4 linked regions of the Saccharomyces cerevisiae S288C genome follow. Changing the gene in region 1 together with any one later gene gives a genetic interaction. Each region holds a gene or a part of one and is shown in the gene's direction. Other genes may lie near its edges. The genes, in order: CSI2, FIT3, COS6 and MDS3.

Evidence for each region.
Region 2: mutations in CSI2 (region 1) and FIT3 together harm fitness more than expected from each alone (negative genetic interaction), as found in Saccharomyces cerevisiae (one large-scale study listed by BioGRID).
Region 3: mutations in CSI2 (region 1) and COS6 together harm fitness more than expected from each alone (negative genetic interaction), as found in Saccharomyces cerevisiae (one large-scale study listed by BioGRID).
Region 4: mutations in CSI2 (region 1) and MDS3 together harm fitness more than expected from each alone (negative genetic interaction), as found in Saccharomyces cerevisiae (one large-scale study listed by BioGRID).

The regions. Positions count from the first base shown.
Region 1 is NC_001147.6:310,321-314,086, reverse strand, and holds CSI2 (Csi2p), read left to right. Parts: upstream 1-1,719; coding exon 1,720-2,745; downstream 2,746-3,766. Other genes in the region: TOP1 (DNA topoisomerase 1), read left to right, coding at 1-1,009; ubiquinone-binding protein COQ10, read right to left, coding at 3,152-3,766. UniProt on the Saccharomyces cerevisiae protein: Appears to be a structural component of the chitin synthase 3 complex.
Region 2 is NC_001147.6:1,059,134-1,063,425, reverse strand, and holds FIT3 (Fit3p), read left to right. Parts: upstream 1-2,370; coding exon 2,371-2,985; downstream 2,986-4,292. Other genes in the region: FRE5 (putative ferric-chelate reductase), read right to left, coding at 1-1,862; FIT2 (Fit2p), read right to left, coding at 3,434-3,895. UniProt on the Saccharomyces cerevisiae protein: Involved in the uptake of non-siderophore and siderophore sources of iron. Has a role in the retention of iron in the cell wall and periplasmic space.
Region 3 is NC_001139.9:1,080,212-1,085,051, reverse strand, and holds COS6 (Cos6p), read left to right. Parts: upstream 1-2,322; coding exon 2,323-3,468; downstream 3,469-4,840. Other genes in the region: YRF1-3 (Y' element ATP-dependent helicase protein 1 copy 3), read right to left, coding at 1-21, 170-188; seripauperin PAU12, read right to left, coding at 4,384-4,746.
Region 4 is NC_001139.9:122,111-130,246, forward strand, and holds MDS3 (Mds3p), read left to right. Parts: upstream 1-2,587; coding exon 2,588-7,051; downstream 7,052-8,136. Other genes in the region: EMP24 (Emp24p), read right to left, coding at 584-1,195; YIP4 (Yip4p), read left to right, coding at 1,481-2,188; D-serine ammonia-lyase DSD1, read left to right, coding at 7,773-8,136.

The DNA.
Region 1 (3,766 bases):
TTGTTGTTCATTGCGATATGAGCATGTTACTTTGAAACCTCCGAATACTGTTATCTTTGATTTCTTAGGTAAGGATTCTATTAGATTTTATCAAGAGGTAGAAGTTGACAAACAAGTTTTCAAAAATTTGACAATTTTTAAAAGGCCGCCCAAACAGCCAGGACATCAACTGTTTGATCGTCTAGATCCATCTATACTGAACAAATATCTACAAAACTACATGCCGGGATTGACTGCTAAAGTTTTCCGTACATATAATGCTTCCAAAACAATGCAAGATCAACTGGATCTAATTCCAAATAAAGGATCTGTCGCAGAGAAAATATTGAAGTACAACGCAGCAAATAGAACTGTAGCCATCCTATGTAACCATCAAAGGACTGTCACGAAGGGGCATGCACAAACAGTGGAAAAGGCCAATAATAGAATACAAGAGTTGGAATGGCAAAAGATTCGTTGCAAGAGGGCCATTTTACAATTGGATAAGGATCTTTTAAAGAAAGAGCCAAAATATTTCGAAGAAATCGACGATTTGACGAAAGAAGATGAAGCCACCATTCACAAGAGAATTATTGATAGAGAAATTGAAAAATATCAGCGAAAATTTGTTAGGGAGAACGATAAGAGGAAATTTGAAAAGGAAGAATTATTGCCGGAAAGTCAATTGAAGGAATGGTTGGAGAAAGTCGACGAAAAGAAACAAGAATTCGAAAAGGAATTGAAAACCGGTGAAGTGGAACTGAAATCAAGTTGGAATTCAGTCGAAAAAATAAAAGCACAAGTAGAGAAATTAGAACAGCGTATCCAAACTAGTTCCATTCAGTTGAAAGATAAAGAGGAAAACTCCCAGGTTTCACTGGGCACTTCCAAAATCAATTATATAGACCCTAGACTTTCTGTGGTATTTTGCAAAAAGTATGATGTTCCGATTGAAAAGATTTTTACAAAAACCCTAAGAGAAAAATTCAAATGGGCCATAGAATCGGTAGATGAAAATTGGAGGTTTTAACGCAAAGAAACGCAGCATAGGGGAGAAGCAAATACATTCACGCATCAAGTTCGCATTAGGGTTACTAGGAAGATATCTTATACACATATATAGAAATAATTTAAAACTTTTAAAGAGTATACTGCAGTGTAATCATGCCACAGTTACTTTACCCCTCCTATTATTTCTTAGTTACCTGCATATAAGAAACGTATTGTCCGTATCTCTTGATGTTTTGGAAGCAAAAATACTTGGAACCTTTGCAAGAATGCATGCTCAGTGACACGGCTTGAATCCGTCCCTTGTCGCATGTATGCCCTTCGAAATTTTGGCGGTTTTCGCGTTTTCTGCGTGTAAGTGTGGCAGGATCGCGAAAAAAAAGTAATTAGCGTAGACAAGAATTACACGAAAAGTCGTCAACACAGCGCCGTCTGTAAGGAAGAACCGCTCTATTGAAATAGAAGCCACGAAATGCTAAGCTGAATCAAACAAATTCAGATCATAATTTCCTGTTCTAGATGGGGCCTTCCGTTCTATTAAAAGTGTCTGCTGAAAAAGAAAAAGATTTGCATCCATGCTTCCTCCAATATAAGGATGTGAGATACGTAGTACATCTTAGCTTGCTTTATTTTACAAATAACACATCAGCAGAAGGACGCTTTACGGTGAAACAGGAAAGTCTTTAACTATTAATAGGGAAAAGATTGTCAACATAAACTAGTAACGACACAATGAGACTGCCAGAAATCTCCATTTGGAAAGTGATACTACTACTTCATTTGTTTGCTCTACAAGAATTTCAACTTGTCTCCGCTGCAAATTTGCCCTCTTTATCAAGTAGTACAAAGGCAGCAGATAGTTCTAGTAAAGGCAGCTCTTCAGCCAAGACAACCACGTCCTTAGGCAAAAGCTCAGTAACCAGTAAGGATGTTTCGTCAAGTCATAATGTCACTTCAAGCACTAAAATGCCCAAAATCACCACGAGCGCTAGTACAAGCTTATACACCAACTCTAGTTTATGGAGCAACAACAGTGTAATATCAACTTCATCTATTACACCTTCCAGCGTTTATATCCCGGTTACGGACGGAAATAAATTCTTATATCAGGCTCATCATCCTAACGGTACTGTGTTCATTGCATTTGCTGGCTGTTTAGGTGCAATTCTACTATCACTGACGGGTGCATGGATTGCATTGAATATAAAGTCATGGCGAAGTGCTAGAAAGGAAAATAAGCTGAGAAATCTAGAAAATCAATACCAACACGATCCTTTCTACTTCCAAACAAACATTAATGACGACGAAAGTGAAACATCTTCCCATTCTGACGACAGTGACATATCAGAAAAAGTTCTGAAAAATAACTCATCTCGTATGAGTTTGTATACTCTAGGATCCACTTCTGTTTTGAATCTTTTGAACAATAAAACAGATGCCAACGATAACTTCAGATCATCTATGTTTATTTCACCCACCGAAATTCTGCAATCTGATGCCAACAACTCTAATACATGGTCTCAAAGCAATGAGAGTGCTATATATGATTCCTTGTCCAGTACTCCAAGGGAACCTGGTGCTACCCAAATACTGGGAAAGTTTACAGACAGCACTAATCCATTCAATTATACATCATACAATTTAAGTCCCGACTCTGAAGACCGCTCTACTCCAAAATCAAATGTTAGTCAGGGTAAAGTAAAGAAGTACCGTCCTCCCAGTGTTCATCTGGATCAACTGCTCGACGGTAAGGAATAATTGCGTCCCCACCTTTCTACACCTCATTTACACTAAGTGCGACTCGAAAACCTAATACTTCAATTAATGAGAGGATACGTGTAAATTCCTCGCCATCACCATGCGCTGTTTTTAGTACACCATTCTTTTTTCGCATACAGATACAAGCACTAAACTGATCGTACTTTGCCAATGAATAAAATGGTGCATCTGCGTATCAACTTGTTGATTGCGACGGAAGACCAGGAAATTTTGCAGCAAAATATATTTGTTTGTATCCTCCGCCCCTACTGGAGCTTGTTAGAAAGCTTAAATACTATAAACATAACTATACAGAAAAATCTTGTTCTATAGTCTAAAAATTTAACCATGCATACGCTTATCCTGGATGGCATGATCTTTGTTATCTGAAATTATACGGAAGATATCACGGAGAGCCTTCTTTAGAAGAAGGTTTTAGCATTGCTAATCTTACTAAATGGTATGCTCTTTTGGCAAATGCGTTCATCACCAATTCAGTCACAGTTTTCGCAAATATTAGAGAGACACTGTTATATATCCGAGATTTGAATTTAAATCTTAATAGAAGTTCTACCATGGCCGCATTTGGTCTATTTGGGTGAGGCATTATGGTCCATTTCGAAATCAAAAGGTGAAACAAATTATGAGATATTGTTTCTGCAACAACGGTATACGTATGATCAGTATCTTTACAGGTAACATTGCATATAAATTCCTCATCGTATTGTTTGAAACCAACTCGAAGCCCCGCAATGAGAGGCTTGTTATCCACAGGATTTCGTTTATCTACAAACGAATCAACACAATAAGGAATAAATTCCTTATATTGGGCAACTTCTGACACTGCAGCGTAGACTGTGCTTGGAGGGGCGTTTATGGCCTTGCGCAAAACATATCGCTGTTCCCTAATAGTGTGATTGGTACCGCTCAAACCAAAAAAATTTCTTTTAAGAGGATATCTCCCAATTGGCTTGAGCATCGCTTTCCTGAATAATATCAATGTCTGTGAGGGCCTTATTAT
Region 2 (4,292 bases), 750 kb from region 1:
CCTTCCGTGCTCATATTAGCAATTGCTCCCTCCTCCGTGTTCGATTCATCTTTTCGCTCTCCTGTGAAGTAAATTTTTGTGTCTATGTTCAACTCTTTTAGCACCATTATCTCTTTGCGATACACTTCTAAGAGATCAAGGTTACGTACACTCCACACAAATTTGATCATTTGATGAGAATCGTTGCTTTTGACCTGGCGACCTGCCTTTATTGCCATCGACAGAGGTCCAGGAACACCCGCCCCTCCGGCAATAAACAGGAGGCTTTCGAACAAATGTGTTCGCGTGCTTTGTCCATAAGGTCCTTCTGCTAGTACTCGCATTTCCGTGTACCCTTCGCTCTCTAAAAGGTATTCCTGTAATTTTTTGGTTAGCCCATTTTTCACTGTTATCACAACTACCAACTCACCATCCTCAACCAAAGAATCCATGACCGTGAATGGATGTGATTGCCAGAATATTTTTGGTCTTAAGAAGTACAGATATATATATTGGCCAGGTTCTGCTTTCCACCATTTGGAGCTTTTTGAGATTCTCACTTCTATCATGGACTCGCCACACAGTTTCAATTTAGCCCATGGCATTCCAAAAATTGCAATCTTTATTAGCCGCAGAATACGGTCAGCAATCCAAAACAGTGCACACGCCATTATCCATTCACCCCATCCAAGTTTATAGCAATGTTTCCAGCACGCATGGAAAAATCCTATTGCTAAGATAATGTGCGTAATAACAAACAATTCGTAATAATGTCGTCTAAAGAAGAAGAACGAAAAAAACACAAGTATTCCAACAATGATCATGGCATGTCTTCCGGATGTCCATAGATCACTATACTTCACGTATTTCCAGTAATTTTCTATGTATGCATGGTAGGTGTATCCTATTGCATGGATCGTACAGTCTACTAACATGAATCTTCCTAACCATTTGTGGTAAGTAATGAATGCGGTATATCTTATACCTGTGAGCCAAGTCATTGTGCTGTTTTTACCGCCAAAGAGAACTATCAAAGGAAAATGTGCGAATGCCAGGATCCCTGCCCTGTCGGAAAGGAAGATAAGCACTTGGCTTCTGCGATCACTGAGCAACTCATTATGGTCAAAATTGTAACTACTCAACAAGAACCCGTGCAACAAAACGTAACCGAATAGGACAAGGGTCTCTAACCTGGTAGGGACCAGACCGATGAAAAACCACCTTCCCACTGACATAGCATGGTTATGAACAAGCGCTGGAAGAACATAGTGGCCTCTTAAGAAAGCAGACACCTTGTTTTTGAACACCGTTTGTTTAAGTCGAGAAAAGTTCAAGAAGTGATATACAGCTGCAATAAACAGAACTCCTATCCAGTATAAGCAAATCGTCACTCCATAAACATTTCCTTTGTCTATATTATCCAGGGGCCCAAAATAAGCCCATACCCACCTATCTAGAGAGGCTTTATTGGGAGTGACGGGATATCGTATGTTTTCCTTTACCTCATCAAGAGGCCGGATGAAAAGGGATGCATTGGCAAAAATTCGATAATACTCCTCATTGCTGACGACCTCATCTTTGTGATAATCGTGGCAATACTGATTAATTTTGCTAAACGTTTTTTCGAATATTTTTTTACTTTTCTTCCTACTGTCGAGAACATCCTTCGCGCAATGTAACCAAGACCCTAGTGCTGGTTCATAAGTGCAAAGAGTAGCGTGCCGACCCTTCACATCCGTGTCAAATTTGTGTGATTCCAATTCTTTAGCACAAGCATCAATTGCTATCTGGTCCCATTGCGTTCTTTTCTTAGTTGATGCTGGTTTTGCTAAAGAACCTGGTGCCAAATACACCAACAGCAGCACTAATCTAGCGAAAAGCATTCGAAATCTGGGTGAATTAAATTAACTGCGACAAAATTGGTGATGTGACATACCGAAAACGCTACATTACACATTTGCCAAGTAAAAAATTGACGCTCCTTTTTTAATGATCGCTAATGTAATGAAAAGTAAAAATCCAATTAAACGAGGAAGCGGTAAAATATGATTGCTGTGTAGTAATGCCACAGTCTTCTTAGTCCTACCTATGTCCTAGATTTTTTTTTGCACCCTGTTTGTTCCGCACCCCGCTATCCCATATTTTTTGATGTATGTGAAGGAAAGCAATCTAAGGGCTCAAGAGCCGAGTTCCGCCATTCTAGGAAAGGGTGCAAAAAAATGGGGTTCAATTATCGTTCGAGATTTGTTATTTTTTTTTTTGTAAAAGTTGATTTATGGGGTATTTAAGCCAAGAACTATTTGAAGTATTAGGAGGTAATATGAATGTTCGAACAGATACAAACAAGTACTTCCACTCGCTTAAAAATAACTAATAACAATAATCCCTAAAATGAAATTCTCTTCCGCTTTGGTTCTATCTGCTGTTGCCGCTACTGCTCTTGCTGAGAGTATCACCACCACCATCACTGCCACCAAGAACGGTCATGTCTACACTAAGACTGTCACCCAAGATGCTACTTTTGTTTGGGGTGGTGAAGACTCTTACGCCAGCAGCACTTCTGCCGCTGAATCTTCTGCCGCCGAAACTTCTGCCGCCGAAACCTCTGCTGCCGCTACCACTTCTGCTGCCGCTACCACTTCTGCTGCTGAGACTTCTTCTGCTGCTGAGACTTCTTCTGCTGATGAAGGTTCTGGTTCTAGTATCACTACCACTATCACTGCCACCAAGAACGGTCACGTCTACACTAAGACTGTCACCCAAGATGCTACTTTTGTCTGGACTGGTGAAGGCAGCAGCAACACCTGGTCTCCAAGTAGTACTTCTACCAGCTCAGAAGCTGCTACCTCTTCTGCTTCAACCACTGCAACCACCACTGCTGAAACTTCTTCCTCTGCTACATCCTCTAGCACCGCTGAATTATCTAGTTACACCGGTGCTGCTGATGCCATCACCGCTGGTACTGGTTTGATGGGTGCTGCCCTTGCTGCCGTCATGTTATTGTAAATGATATGTGAATAATCATGCGGGATATCCGATTTTTATGAAGCACCTTGCGGCTTGGCCTTTTTTCGAAGTTATGTTAGAATAAAAAAATTTTAATAACACACATTAAGTATGTATGTATATATACTGTTTCAAGTTCGTTGGTCTTCCTTTAATTGTTTGAAACGGTTAAAAGTATCTAATTAAAATAAATATACCCGAAATCATACTAAAAAAATAGTTAATATTAATAAAAGTAATGATAATAATAATAATAACAATAATAATAATACGATGATGATGATGAAACGAAAAACTGCTACATTGAAGTCACTGAGAAACGTAATGAAAAAAAGTCCTTTTTACTAGCCTTTTGAAGGAGAAAGACAATTATATTAGCTTTTCATAGATAAGTTATAAATATGCTATACACGATAACTAATAGCTTTTTTCTGGTTTGAAACCGAGCTTATAATAGGTAAGAAATCAAACCAAGGGCCAATGCACCGACACTTGCTCCTTGGAATGCAGCAGGAGCAGCACCAGAAGAAGAGGCAGAAGAGGAGGAGGAGGATGAGGAGGATGAGGAGGATGTAGATGATTCGACGGCTTGAGTGACGGTCTTGGTGTAAAGGTTGGTTGATGAACCTGAACCGTTTGTCAAAGTAAGTGTCTTTGTTGTACTCTTTTCAGAGGTGGTATCTGGTCCTTCGGTGACAACCTTTGTGTAAGTAGCATCACTATTACTGACAACGACAGTTCTAGTGGTACTGTAACTAATGATAGGGTCAGCGGTGTCGGTAACGACCTTAGTGTAAACGTTATTACCGTTAGTAGCAGTAATAGTCTTAGTGGTCATTACACTCGACACAGCTGCTGCCGAGACGGCAGTCATAACTGTAGTAGCTCCGAAAATAGTTGAGAATTTCATTATTATTGTTTTGTGATGGCTTTATGATAGACTTTTTTACAAGGACCGTAAAATTCTGCCTGAAGCACGCACACATTCCTGTTTTATACATATATTGCTAGGTAATATAAAATGCTAATTATACTGCACCCAGTTAGATTCGTATACATCTTATCCGAACTCGATTACAAATTATACAAGTGATCCAATTGGGTGAACCTCGAAACAGTTCTCTGTTCAAGGGTCCGCTGCGGGGCGAGGGGGGGTGCATTTGAACTTAGGGTGCATTGTTTTAAATCCTATACAGGATATGAACTTAGTTAGTTCAATGATCGCTTGATAAATTGCACCCTGCTCTTGAGGGTCATTCTAAGTAATGAAATTTTGGGTGTTTTTGTTTGCCGTCCTCGTTCAATTC
Region 3 (4,840 bases), on another chromosome or scaffold:
GCGCTATGCAGGTGCAAATCTCTAGCAGCAGCAAAGTAAATTCAGTTAGTAAGAAATCTCACTAAGATAAGCGACTGTCTGTCCCCTTCAAGCACAACATAGAAAGCAGAAGGATGTCTCATTCATCGCTTGATTTCCGGCCTGCAAAAATAAAGTAGTCGGTACGTACGTTCGTTTTCAATTTCCATGGTGCACAGTATCTTAACTATCTGCTTAGTCGAGGAGAACCAGGATTCTGTTCGTTGCTCAGCCGCTTCGTGGATATTCTCTTGGATACTTTAAATATGGACCTACGCTTAGCCTGCGCTTAGCCTACAACTTCTTCCGCTCTCGAAAAGACCAATATAATAGAAAGTTATAAATTACATTTCCTTATTAGGTATACGACCTCGCGCTTCGAAGTAGAGGAGCCCTTTTTGGCGTACCTACATATGGCGCGTCAGACAGACAAACTTCCCCCAAAAATGTATTACCCCGCCGAATAAGAAAACAGACCCATTCACCCACGACGTATCAAGTTACTTCCTTGGTGCAATGTCCCACTATAAAAAAATTCCTTGACGCTAGATCGTTGGACTAAAATCTGCGTCACAATCGCCTAAACAGGAAATATTGCCTATTTTCGTACAAGGTTACTTCCTAGATGCTATATGTCCCTACGGCCTTGTCTAACACCATCCAGCATGCAATACAGTGACATATATATGATTTAACCTGTCTCTCAACTTACCCTCCATTACCCTACCTCCCCACAAGTTACCCTGTCTCATTCAACTATACCACACCCCAACCACCATCCATCTCTCTACTTACTACCACTCACCCACATCCACCACCTGTTACCCTCCAATTGCCCATATTCAACTCCACTACCACTTACCCTGCCATTACCCTACCATGCCCCATCTTGTTACTCACTATACTGTTGTTCTACCCAACATATTGAAATGTTAACAAATGATCGTAAATAATACACACATACTTACCCTGCCACTCTAATCCCACCACCACATGCCACACTCACCCTCACTTGTATACTGATACGGCATACGCACACGGATGCTACAGTATATACCATCTCAAGTTACCCTACTCTCACACTCCACTCCATGGCCCATTCTCACTAAATCAGTACTAGATGCACTCACATCATTATGCACGGCGCTTGCCTCAGCGTTCTATACCCTGTGCCATTTACCCATAAATCCCATGATTATCCACATTTTAATATCTATATCTCATTCGGCGGCCCCAAATATTGTATAAATGCCCTTAATACATATGTTGTACCACTTTTGCACCATATACTAACCACTCAATTTATATGCACTTATGTCAATATTACATAAAAATATCATCAAAATCACCTAAACATAAAAATATTCTACTTTTCAACAATAATACATAAACACACTCAATTGCGTATCTATACCACCATGACGTCATTAACTTAAATGTTCCTTAATATCGTCATACCATTATGATCTATTCAATATATTGTAATATAACTGCACTCTATAGTCATACAGATACTTTTACTTCACCCTATCTTCTCATACTATTGTCATAGAATCTCATACTGACACATGATTAAAACGAATAACTTTTACTATAAGGCCTGCCATCCGCGCTCTATCCTTTTGTTTGAAATATTTATATACAGAATCTCAAAACAAGCGGGAGAAGTAGTAATTACCCAGAGGTCATGCATGATCTTAGCACCACCGTACCTCTATGTTTTGCTTTGATCCGCTTTACAGTGACACCAAACATAAGGAGGGAAAATGGTATTGAAATGATGTTGAAAGGTTGTTCACATTCGCAAGTAAATTGGTTCTATGAATCTTCATGTAAGATACTCGTAGGACAGGCTCTTTCCTGTGTAAATATTTGTGACAGCTACATCTAATTTCTATTAGATATTTACACAGTTTTGTCACAGGCATTCCATGTGATAATGAAATTCTCGAGCCATATGGCGGTTGTTGTAAAAGTAGTGACATTGCTGGTCGCACCTTAAATGTAAACCAAAGTTACGGCACACTCTCACAGTACCCGCACTAAAGTTTTATAAAAGTACTATTACGATTATCGAGTGAGCTAGATAGAAAATCGGAAATGAAATGGATGCCCTTTTCGAATAGTAAAGTTTCTGTGCCTAAAATAGCTCAACATTGTTGCCCTTTTTCTATCCCGAGGTTACTGAGCCATTGCATGAACGCGCGCGCCTCGACGGCTTTTTTTTCTGCTATATAAAAGCGAAAAGCCAGAAGTTATTATTTTGAATAAAAAACCCCTCGAACTGCCATCTCACTACCGAAAATGAAAGAGAATGAACTTAAAAATGAGAAGAGTGTAGATGTATTATCCGTCAAACAGCTCGAATCCCAAAAGACTGTTCTACCTCAAGATCTTTTCAGAAGCAGCTTTACCTGGTTTTGTTATGAAATTTACAAGTCCTTAGTGTTTCGCATCTGGATGCTATTATGGCTACCACTTAGCGTCTGGTGGAAACTTTCCAACAATTGGATTTACCCGCTTATGGTTTCACTTCTTGTCCTGTTTTGGGGACCAGTATTTGTTCTTGTTATTTTTAGACTTTCTCGTAAACGTTCCTTATCGAAACAACTCACTCAGTTTTGCAAAGAGATTACTAAAAACACACCAAGTTCGGATCCTCATGATTGGGAAGTCGTTGCAGCAAATCTAAATTCGTACTTCTATGAAAATAAGGCTTGGAATACCAAGTACTTTTTTTTCAGTGCCATGAGCTGCCAAGAAGCATTCAGAACAACCCTTCTCGAACCCTTCTCTTTGAAAAAAGACGAAGCTGCCAAGGTTAAGTCATTTAAGGATTCCGTCCCTTACATTGAAGAAGCATTGGAAGTTTATTTTACAGAAGTTGAAAAACAATGGAAGTTGTTTAATTCTGAGAAATCATGGAGCCCTGTTGGCCTGGAAGATGCTAAACTTCCCAAGGAAGCTTACCGATTTAAGCTTACCTGGGTTCTCAAAAGGATTTTCAACCGGCGGTGTTTACCACTCTTCCTTTTTTATTTGCATAATGTCTTCATTTCACGAAATGATGGCACTATAGCACGTCCCTTGTTTCTTGTGGTGCTGTTTTTTATCATGACGAGAGATTTCCGGAATATGAGGATGATCGTTTTATCCGTGAAAATGGAACACAAGATGCAGTTTTTATCGACTATTATAAATGAGCAAGAAAGTGGTGCAAATGGATGGGACGAAATTGCAAAGAAAATGAATAGGTACTTGTTTGAGAAAAAAGTCTGGAAGAATGAAGAGTTTTTCTTTGACGGGATTGACTGTGAATGGTTTTTTAGCCACTTCTTCTACCGCGTTCTCTCTGCAAAGAAATCTATGCGGGCTCTATCATTGAATGTGGAACTATGGCCATATATTAAAGAAGCGCAATTATCCTGCAGTGAGGAGTCCTTAGCGTAAAGATAAATACAACTTTTTCAATTTATATATTTTGTAGTTTGTCAGCTGCGAATAACCAAAACGAGACTACTTTTTACCATTACAACCATTTTCTTTTTCCCTATTTCTCACTGGTTGACAGAAATCAGTGTGCCACCATCCTACCATATGCGCAAAACTTATTGTCTTTCTCCTCCCAGTGATGCTATATTCCATGCATATTCTGAACGATGGGTTGGTGCTTTTATCAAGCAAGGTTAATCACATGGCGTGGCTTGCTCCACGCATCAGTAGAAAACGCATACCGCAGCGGAATCCTTAAATAATAAGTGATTTTACTGTACATCGACTAGAATCGGACTCTTTCACAAATTACCCTTCTTATTTTCCACATTTATTGTTAATCAAGGGATATACAAAAGCTTATGAAAGCCTTTACCGAACACTAAATAGAAACCCTCCTGCCACGAAAAACTTCAAGATCGATAACTTTAATCTTAAAAATTTGACACATTTGAAGGCGACGACTCCGGGCCGATCGATGCCCTGAAAAAAAAAAAAAAAATAAAGGCGACCTCGTTTAAGGTGAATATGGAAGAAAATGGTTATATAATTGCTTGAACATTTGTCGTTATATATTAACAATAGCATCAACCGGTTTACTAGCAAGTGATCCTAAAATATGATTTTTTCAACATAGATATTGATGACCCATGTCGTTGAAGTGGACACACATCGAAGAATACCACAAAAGGAAGAGAGGATTCTTGTCCTTGCTCCGCCAAGTTGTTCATAAATATCACGATTGACCAGTAGTAACAATATTAATATACACTTACATATAATGAACTATTTATACTATCAAAAAAAAAAAGCTTTTTTTATTTTCGTTATTTCTTAAGGTTTATGGAATTTCGTTCGTAAAGGCGTTTGTCTCTAGTTTGCGATAGTGTAGATACCGTCCTTGGATAGAGCACTGGAGATGGCTGGCTTTAATCTGCTGGAGTACCATGGAACACCGGTGATCATTCTGGTCACTTGGTCTGGGGCAATACCAGTCAACATGGTGGTGAAGTCACCGTAGTTGAAAACGGCTTCAGCGATTTCAACTGGGTAGGTTTCAGTTGGATGAGCGGCTTGGAAAGAGTAGTATTGGGCCAAGTGAGCTCTGATATCAGAGACGTAGACACCCAATTCAACCAAGTTGACTCTTTCGTCAGATTGAGCTAGAGTGGTGGTTGCGGAAGCAGTAGCAGCGATGGCGGCAACACCAGCAGCGATTGAAGTTAGTTTGACCATTGTATTTGTTTTGTTTTTTAGTGCTGATGTAAGCTTAACAAGAAATAGTGAAATGAAAGCGCATACCTCAAAGATGGATAGCTACAGCAGCTCT
Region 4 (8,136 bases), on another chromosome or scaffold:
TAATATATTGCTAATATGAGCACTAGTTGATTCTTGTTCCAACAGTATATTCCAAACATGTGTTAATCACGCGTTGATACAATGTGGCTCGGCTACAAATCAGTTATTAACATCGTGAGCTATGTTTCCCTGAAATGGGGACGTTTTCCAACGAATTAGCCTTGTTGGCGCAATCGGTAGCGCGTATGACTCTTAATCATAAGGTTAGGGGTTCGAGCCCCCTACAGGGCTATTCTTTTTTTGTTCTATATGAACAGAGCTATTTCCCTTCTAAGAGTCCCACATAAAAGTGCTCTGGGGAAAAACGGACCACAGCATGTCCTGTGGTACTTGTTTCTTTCAAGTTTTTCGTATGTATTTCCCATTTTTTGATTCGCTACAACCTGTATTTGTTTTATGGCGCGCCTGGACCATATATATGTATATATTTATTTACATGTAATTGGCACAGGGAAAAACAGTGGAAGGATCAAGGTAAAAAGTATGAAACCGAGAATTATTCGCGACTTCAGGTTATCCAATCGTGTATGTAATCGTATGTAGGCAAAAGTAAATAGATATGAACTACATTTTCCTGCTTTACTTAGACTAGAGATGTGACCTCAAAGAATCTTCTCAAGTAGTATATCTGGAAAAGAGAGTTTGCAATAACGACGCCCAATTGGAAGATGGACCACCATTTAACACGATCGTTGGTCGACTCTGCAGTATTTCTATGCGTCCTTTCTCTAATAACAATATAACTTTGTTCGTCCTTGACTTCCCTGGTTAATTTGGACAACTTTCTGACAGCACTATCCAATGTATTGGTGTTTGGGTCGTCCAAATCCACATATACCACCCCATGAATGTTGAAAGTCACGTCTTTTGTCTCGATACCGGTGTTCTCGTTCAAGAAACAGTATTGGAAATGTCCCTTGTATGGAGCAGACAATGTGATTTCACCGTGCGACGTGTCCCTAACCGTTTTCAAAACTTCATGTCTTTCCGGCCCGTAGATGATAAAGTCACCAGTCAGCTGGCTACTGGATTGAGGGTTTCTATCACCGAACTGGAACGAAATGGAGAGCTCGTCACCCTTACTCAAGTCTTCGAAGAAGCATCTACGGCCATAAGCTGGAAGAAGGACATTATGGGCGGACGCCGAGAAGAACAGGAAGCAAGCAATGACAAACTTAGTAGCAAATGAGGCCATCCTTATGCGTGTGTATTTTTGTGCGGAGGGATACTATTAAGATTGCAGTTTCACCAAGTATAGCTTTTTATTTCATTATAAGTTTCGTGTCAAAATGTTTAAGCGACCCGATCTCTCAGGCTGTTTTGCACGACTTTTCTGACTTTCCTCGCGTCTTTTTTCATGAAAATTGGATTACCCGGAGTGATGATTTTCTCACAGTGATTTTTCGTCCCCTTTTACAATAGCAAATGAAGCTGTTTTAGCAATATTTGTAGAAAGATATGTCACAAGAGGGCAGGCAAAATGTCATACGGAAGAGAAGACACTACGATTGAGCCCGACTTCATAGAACCAGATGCACCTTTGGCTGCTTCCGGGGGTGTTGCTGACAACATAGGCGGAACTATGCAGAATTCAGGCAGCAGAGGGACGCTCGACGAGACTGTGCTGCAAACACTAAAGCGAGATGTGGTGGAGATTAATTCCAGACTGAAACAAGTGGTATACCCGCATTTCCCCTCATTCTTTAGCCCCTCTGATGACGGGATAGGGGCGGCTGATAACGACATTTCAGCCAATTGCGACCTGTGGGCGCCCCTTGCGTTTATCATATTGTATTCTCTATTTGTATCGCATGCGCGGTCGCTGTTCTCGAGCCTATTTGTGTCTAGTTGGTTCATTTTGCTGGTGATGGCATTGCATCTGAGACTCACCAAGCCACACCAGAGGGTGTCGCTGATTTCGTACATCTCCATTTCCGGGTATTGCTTATTCCCACAAGTGCTGAATGCCTTAGTCTCGCAGATACTACTTCCATTGGCCTACCATATTGGAAAGCAAAATCGCTGGATTGTGAGGGTCCTGTCGCTCGTGAAACTGGTGGTCATGGCGCTGTGCCTGATGTGGTCTGTGGCCGCCGTTTCGTGGGTTACCAAGAGCAAGACCATTATCGAGATATACCCTCTGGCACTCTGTCTTTTTGGCATGGCCTGGTTGTCAACTATTTTATAACACTAGTTACATATGTATAAAACCCAATATCATGGACATAGAATTGCCTATCTCGCGAGCCACGGCAGAAAGTTCTGAAAAAAAAAAAAAAGAGGACGCTCACAGGGGCTGGCGTGTGGCTAAGGCAGACTCCGTGGAGTGTAAGAGAAGTTCAAAGCAAGATTAGGCTTTCTGATGAATTGGTAGCGCAGAGTCTGGCAAAGTCTATTTCAAGTTCACAGCGTCCGTTTACCACAATTGTTTGAGAACTCTTCTCCTTCCTGTGCCTATAGCCACACTTGCAAACATTACATGGTGAAGGCGCTTTAGAGACTTTTCTGTTTTACTATATATATAAGATAACATAGCGCGCGTGCAAACCAAAGGACAAGTAACAATCTGCACCTGCTTTAGCGTAGTATGCCTTTATTACAACCATCCACTTGCTTCTGCTACCCTTTGAAGCTTCCGCCATTACCACTGACTTCCGATTCCAACGAGTTTGATGAATGCGCCAGGAAAAGGTTAACGCTGGACTATAGAACAGGTTCAGCGGTGACGCTAACAAGGTCTAATATATTTGTACATGGTGGTCTAACCATCCCGTTGAACCTGCCAGTTGTAAATTCTATGCAATTACAAAAGGAGCTTATTCTCTTTTTTGCAAAGGAAAAAAACAACGGTAGTTCTTTTAGGAATTTAAACGAGTGGATAAGTAAGGAGACGTTTTTCTTAGACTTGATGTCTAGAACCTGGTACAGAGTCAAGACCTCCTTTGACCAAAGGACAGAGGAATTATTAAAGGCAGAGAGTTCTAGCGCCAAAGCAGATAATGACACAAACGAGATTAGAACGGACATTAAGAAAGGTAAATCCCTTGAATCTCCGCTCAAGGAGAGGCTATTCCATTCCTTATGTTATTTAGATGGCTGTTTATATATATTTGGTGGTCTCACAGTGTCTCCTCAGAGCGGATATGAGTTGATTGCTACCAATGAGTTGTGGAAACTGGATTTAAACACGAAGAAGTGGTCGCTTTTGAGTGATGACCCTCAAATAGCGAGAAGGTTCAACCATACCATGCATGTAAAGAACGAAAATAACGATAATAGAGACACGAAATTAATAATTGTCGGAGGTCTTAATAACATGGATCAGCCGGTCAAGAAAATAGACATCTATAACATCTCACAGAATTGCTGGCAATCCGAAACCATACCCAAACAACCGATGGAAATCACTACAAATGTCAATGGCATACCATTAGCATTATCAAAGGATCAGAATTTTTCGATTTTAGTTGAAAATAATGAGGCCAACGTTCCAGCGCTGGCATTCTATATGAGAAGTGATCAAATAGACGAATATCTCGGAAAGGATTCATCAAAGATAAAGGAGAATTCGCCTATAGTGGCGTTGCCGCTATTGTCTGAATCGCAAGGTATTAGAATGCCCTCAAACCCGGCATTACCGAAAAAACTATTGAATGTTCCGTATGAGCTATTAGCACCGACAGGTGACTATTTTGGATTCAATATCATAATCGGTGGGTTTCATCCAAATTACCAATCCTCTAACTTTCATTGTTTTATATACGATATTAACTCCGGAAAGTGGTCACGAGTCGCTACCGCCTGCCCTGACTGCGATATCAATAAACATCGATTCTGGAGGGTATTTGTTTGGAAATCGCATCATCAGACGATTTTGTTGGGTACCAAGACTGATGATTATTATTCACCCAGTGTACAAAGATTCGACCATCTTTCCACTTTTGGATTACCGCTGGTAAATATTTTTAACAAGACGATCCAATTACCCCATCACAAGATCTCAGCTTCGTCTTTACCAATACCCATAGAAAATTTTGCGAAGCATAAGGATACTCCATTAAAAAAGGTGAGCTTCACTTCATCAGCTACCTCCCAATTTGAAAACTACATTAGATATATAGCTCCGCCCTTGGAAATGTCTTCTATCCAATCTGTGTTTCCACCGTATGCCATGGTTCTAGGTAAAGACGCTTTAGAGATTTACGGGAAGCCTCTTTCTGATTTTGAATTTATTACTAGTGAAGGTGACTCCATTGGTATACCATGCTATTTGCTGAGGAAAAGATGGGGCCGTTATTTCGACATGCTTTTATCCCAGAGTTATACAAAAGTTTGTGCTGATTATGAAACTACTGATACGCAATCTACACTAATAAAATTTTCACCACATTCATCTAGAAACAGTTCTAAAGCTGTGAGGCAAGAAGGTAGACTCTCTTCATCGGGTTCACTGGACAATTATTTCGAAAAAAACTTCCCAATCTTTGCGAGAACAAGTGTTTCCGAGGCCCAGAACACACAACCTCAGGTAGCGAATGCTGATGCGAAAGCTCCAAATACACCTAGTACGTCAGATGAACCAAGCTCTTCCTCCTCTTCCGATTTATACTCCACTCCTCATTACCAACGTAATAATGATGAAGAGGATGACGAGGACCCGGTTTCCCCGAAGCCTGTATCAAAATCAAACAGTATCTATAGACCCATTAGAAAGACAGAAAGTTCATCAACAACGAGTTCTTCAAACGGTATGATTTTCAGAGTACCTTTCAAGGAAAAAGCGGCTGTAACGTCAAACACTGAAGCCCTCTTGGAGTCAAACCTTTCACTTCAAGAATTGAGCCGAAGAAGATCATCACTTATGAGCATCCCGTCTGGTGAACTTCTAAGGTCCTCTATATCTGAAGCGGAACATCAACGTCGTGCATCTCATCCACTCACTTCATCACCGCTCTTTGAAGATAGTGGAACCCCTTGCGGCAAACAACTGCAACAACTGCAACAACATACTATACAAAATCCTCATAACCATTTGTCGCCCCGGAGGTTTTCAAGAAGTGCAAGAAGTTCAATTTCCTACGTGAGTTCTTCTTCCGATAGACGTGGAAATTCAATTTCTAGCAGGAGCACAAGCGATAGCTTTGGAACTCCACCAGTTTTGGGCGTTTTGAATGTACCATTACCTCCTCAAACAAGAGAACCTAATGAACCACCTCCACCATGTCCTGCAATGAGTACCGGCTCAAATACAAGGCGAAGCAACACCTTAACGGATTATATGCATTCTAACAAGGCTAGCCCGTTTTCTTCTCGTAGATCGTCGCATATCGGTAGACGTTCTAGTACACCGGAAACGGAAAACGCATTCTCTGCAACACCAAGAGCATCCTTAGATGGTCAAATGTTAGGAAAATCTTTGAAGGAAGGTTCTACATCACAGTACACACAGCCAAGGATGAACTCTTTCCCAAAGGCTAATGAAACCATACAAACACCCACATCATCAAACAATGAATGGAGCCGTCAATCCGTTACTTCAAATACAGATAGTTTTGACAGTTTGCAATCTAATTTTGCGTTAGAGTTGGAACCACTTTTAACACCGAGGTCACTTTATATGCCTTGGCCAACCTCCACAGTTCGAGCATTTGCGGAATTTTTTTACACTGGGCAAGTAAACAGTAAATGGCTTTTGGCACCAGTTGCTCTTGATTTATTAGTAATGGCCAAGATTTATGAAATACCATTACTGTATAAATTGATCCTTGAAGTTTTATATTCGATTCTGGCTAAAAAAGAAGAAAGTTTATCCTTAATATGTACTTCGTTAATGGAGACCTTTCGCACCAAAACTCTGAACTCCTATAAAGGTGATGAAGAAAAAACAAATACTTATTTGACTTCAAACGATAACTATCAGGAACTGTTGAAATTAAAAGTGTCGCTGGAGAATATCGACAATGGGTATTATGACCCAGATTTGTTACGCAAACAGTCAAGAGCACAGTCTTCAAGCACACAAGAAAGCAGTGGTAGTGCAAACGGCGAAAAAACTGCAACTGGCGCTGGCTCTCTGGAGACTTCTTCAACCAATGTCCCTACAGTATTTGCTGGCGGTCCCAGAGATAGCCACAATTCAGTAGGCTCCATTGGTTTTCCAAACAGTATGAATATACAAGGCTCAAGAAGATCGACATCAGGATTTTCTCCACGCGTTAAGATGAAATCGAGCTTAAGCAAGGAAATAGATCCCAAAACTTTTTATGAAGAGTACGAACCAAAAGAGGGCAAAAGTTTTGATGATAACGATGATCAACAAACCAACATCGGAAGTTTTAACCTTCATTTGTTTGATATGAATTATGGTTCCATCAGCAGCAGTAGCACTAACAGCATTAGTAGCAGTGATTTAGAAGAGAAAGAAGAACAAGAGCAACTTCAAGATTTATTGGAAATAGAAAGAGAAGATTCTGCTGAGATCTTAGACGCAAGATTCAGAAACAAAGAAGATGATAAAGTGACGAAGGATATATCAAATGACAAGAAACGCAATTACTTACCGCATGAAAAAAATAACTTGAAAGCCAAGGAAGGTAAGGAAACTAGAGACGTAAGGGAGGAGGAGGAAGAATTCGATTTTGGTTTGGGAATGCTTTCGCTCAATAAAATAAAAAGAGAAGCCAAGCATGTCGATAAGGTGGACGATTCTGTAGACCCTTTATTTAAATCATCTGCTTTCCCTCAAAGTCCCATTCGAGCATACGGGTCTACCACAAGAACTAGTTCGGCTTCTGGAAAGCCATTCAGGGACAATCGTTCATTTAATGCATTTTCTGTTTTGACATTAGAAAATATGGCGTCTGCAAATGCCCTACCTCCCGTTGATTATGTCATAAAATCAATATACAGAACCACTGTGTTAGTGAACGATATCAGACTAATGGTTCGTTGCATGGATTGCATTGAATTATCTAAAAATTTACGAGCGCTCAAGAAAAAAACTATGGAAGATATTTCGAAATTGAAAGGCATCTCTAAACCGTCACCATAGACCGCTACGTCCCAGGATAGTTACTCGCACATATAAAGTTCTTAATAATCCAAGAATATGCTGCTATACATCTCAAAACGGATTGCTTCCATATGGGCGCCACTTTTCTGTTTCTTTGCTATCAAAACAGTTGGCACCAAAAAGCTACTCATTGCAAAGGTTTATTGCTTATGAAATATTGCTTTGTGAACAGATTCAACCGAAATTACCCGGTGAATATGACTATGTAAGTTATTAGTATAGGTTGCATTTGCTGTATTCGTTGATAAGACAACATCTTGTATCATACTAGTTTCCGCACACTAGTATTTCGTCTACTATTGACTTTCTGATAAGGTTATCTGGTTCCTGTATTTGCAGTTTATCGAAGCGGGCAGACCAGGTCAGCTCAGGACAATTCAAATTCAGATAATGAGGCACAGACTAATCATAACACGAAAATTGAATACATCCCACGATATAGCATAACCAAATGTCGGAACATAACTAGCAATACAATTTTTACATCGGGCCGAATCCGTCGGAGAGTGATAAGACGGAGTTAAAATATCTCTCAAAACCATGGAACAACAATATGTGTACATATATAAAGCTTTTGAGTGAAAAGATTTCTTTCCACTATTTACTGTCAATTTTATTCAACACGAAAGGGAATTAAGTGCACATAAATACTTCATTTCTTGATAAGGAAGTATAATATTGCTCCTAAGAAGAGTTTGAAATGAGCGATGTTCTATCTCAATATAAAGGGTGCTCAGTCAGAGATTTACCCACACCCAATTTCGTTATTAATGAAGAAAAATTTGATAAGAATTGTACGACAATGTTGAACAACGTTGAAAAGCTCAGCCAGGAATGTGGCGTACCAATCAAATTTCGTGCACACGTAAAAACGCATAAGACAGCAAAGGGAACTTTGAAACAATTGGGCCACGGACTTCCATTGGCTAAACGCACTACAAGAGCCATATTAGTATCAACTTTGAAAGAAGCAGAAGAACTTCTTAATTATCAAGATAGACAATGTTCGGATTATATTGACGATATAACATATAGTTTACCCTGTTGCGTTCCAGAGTTTATTC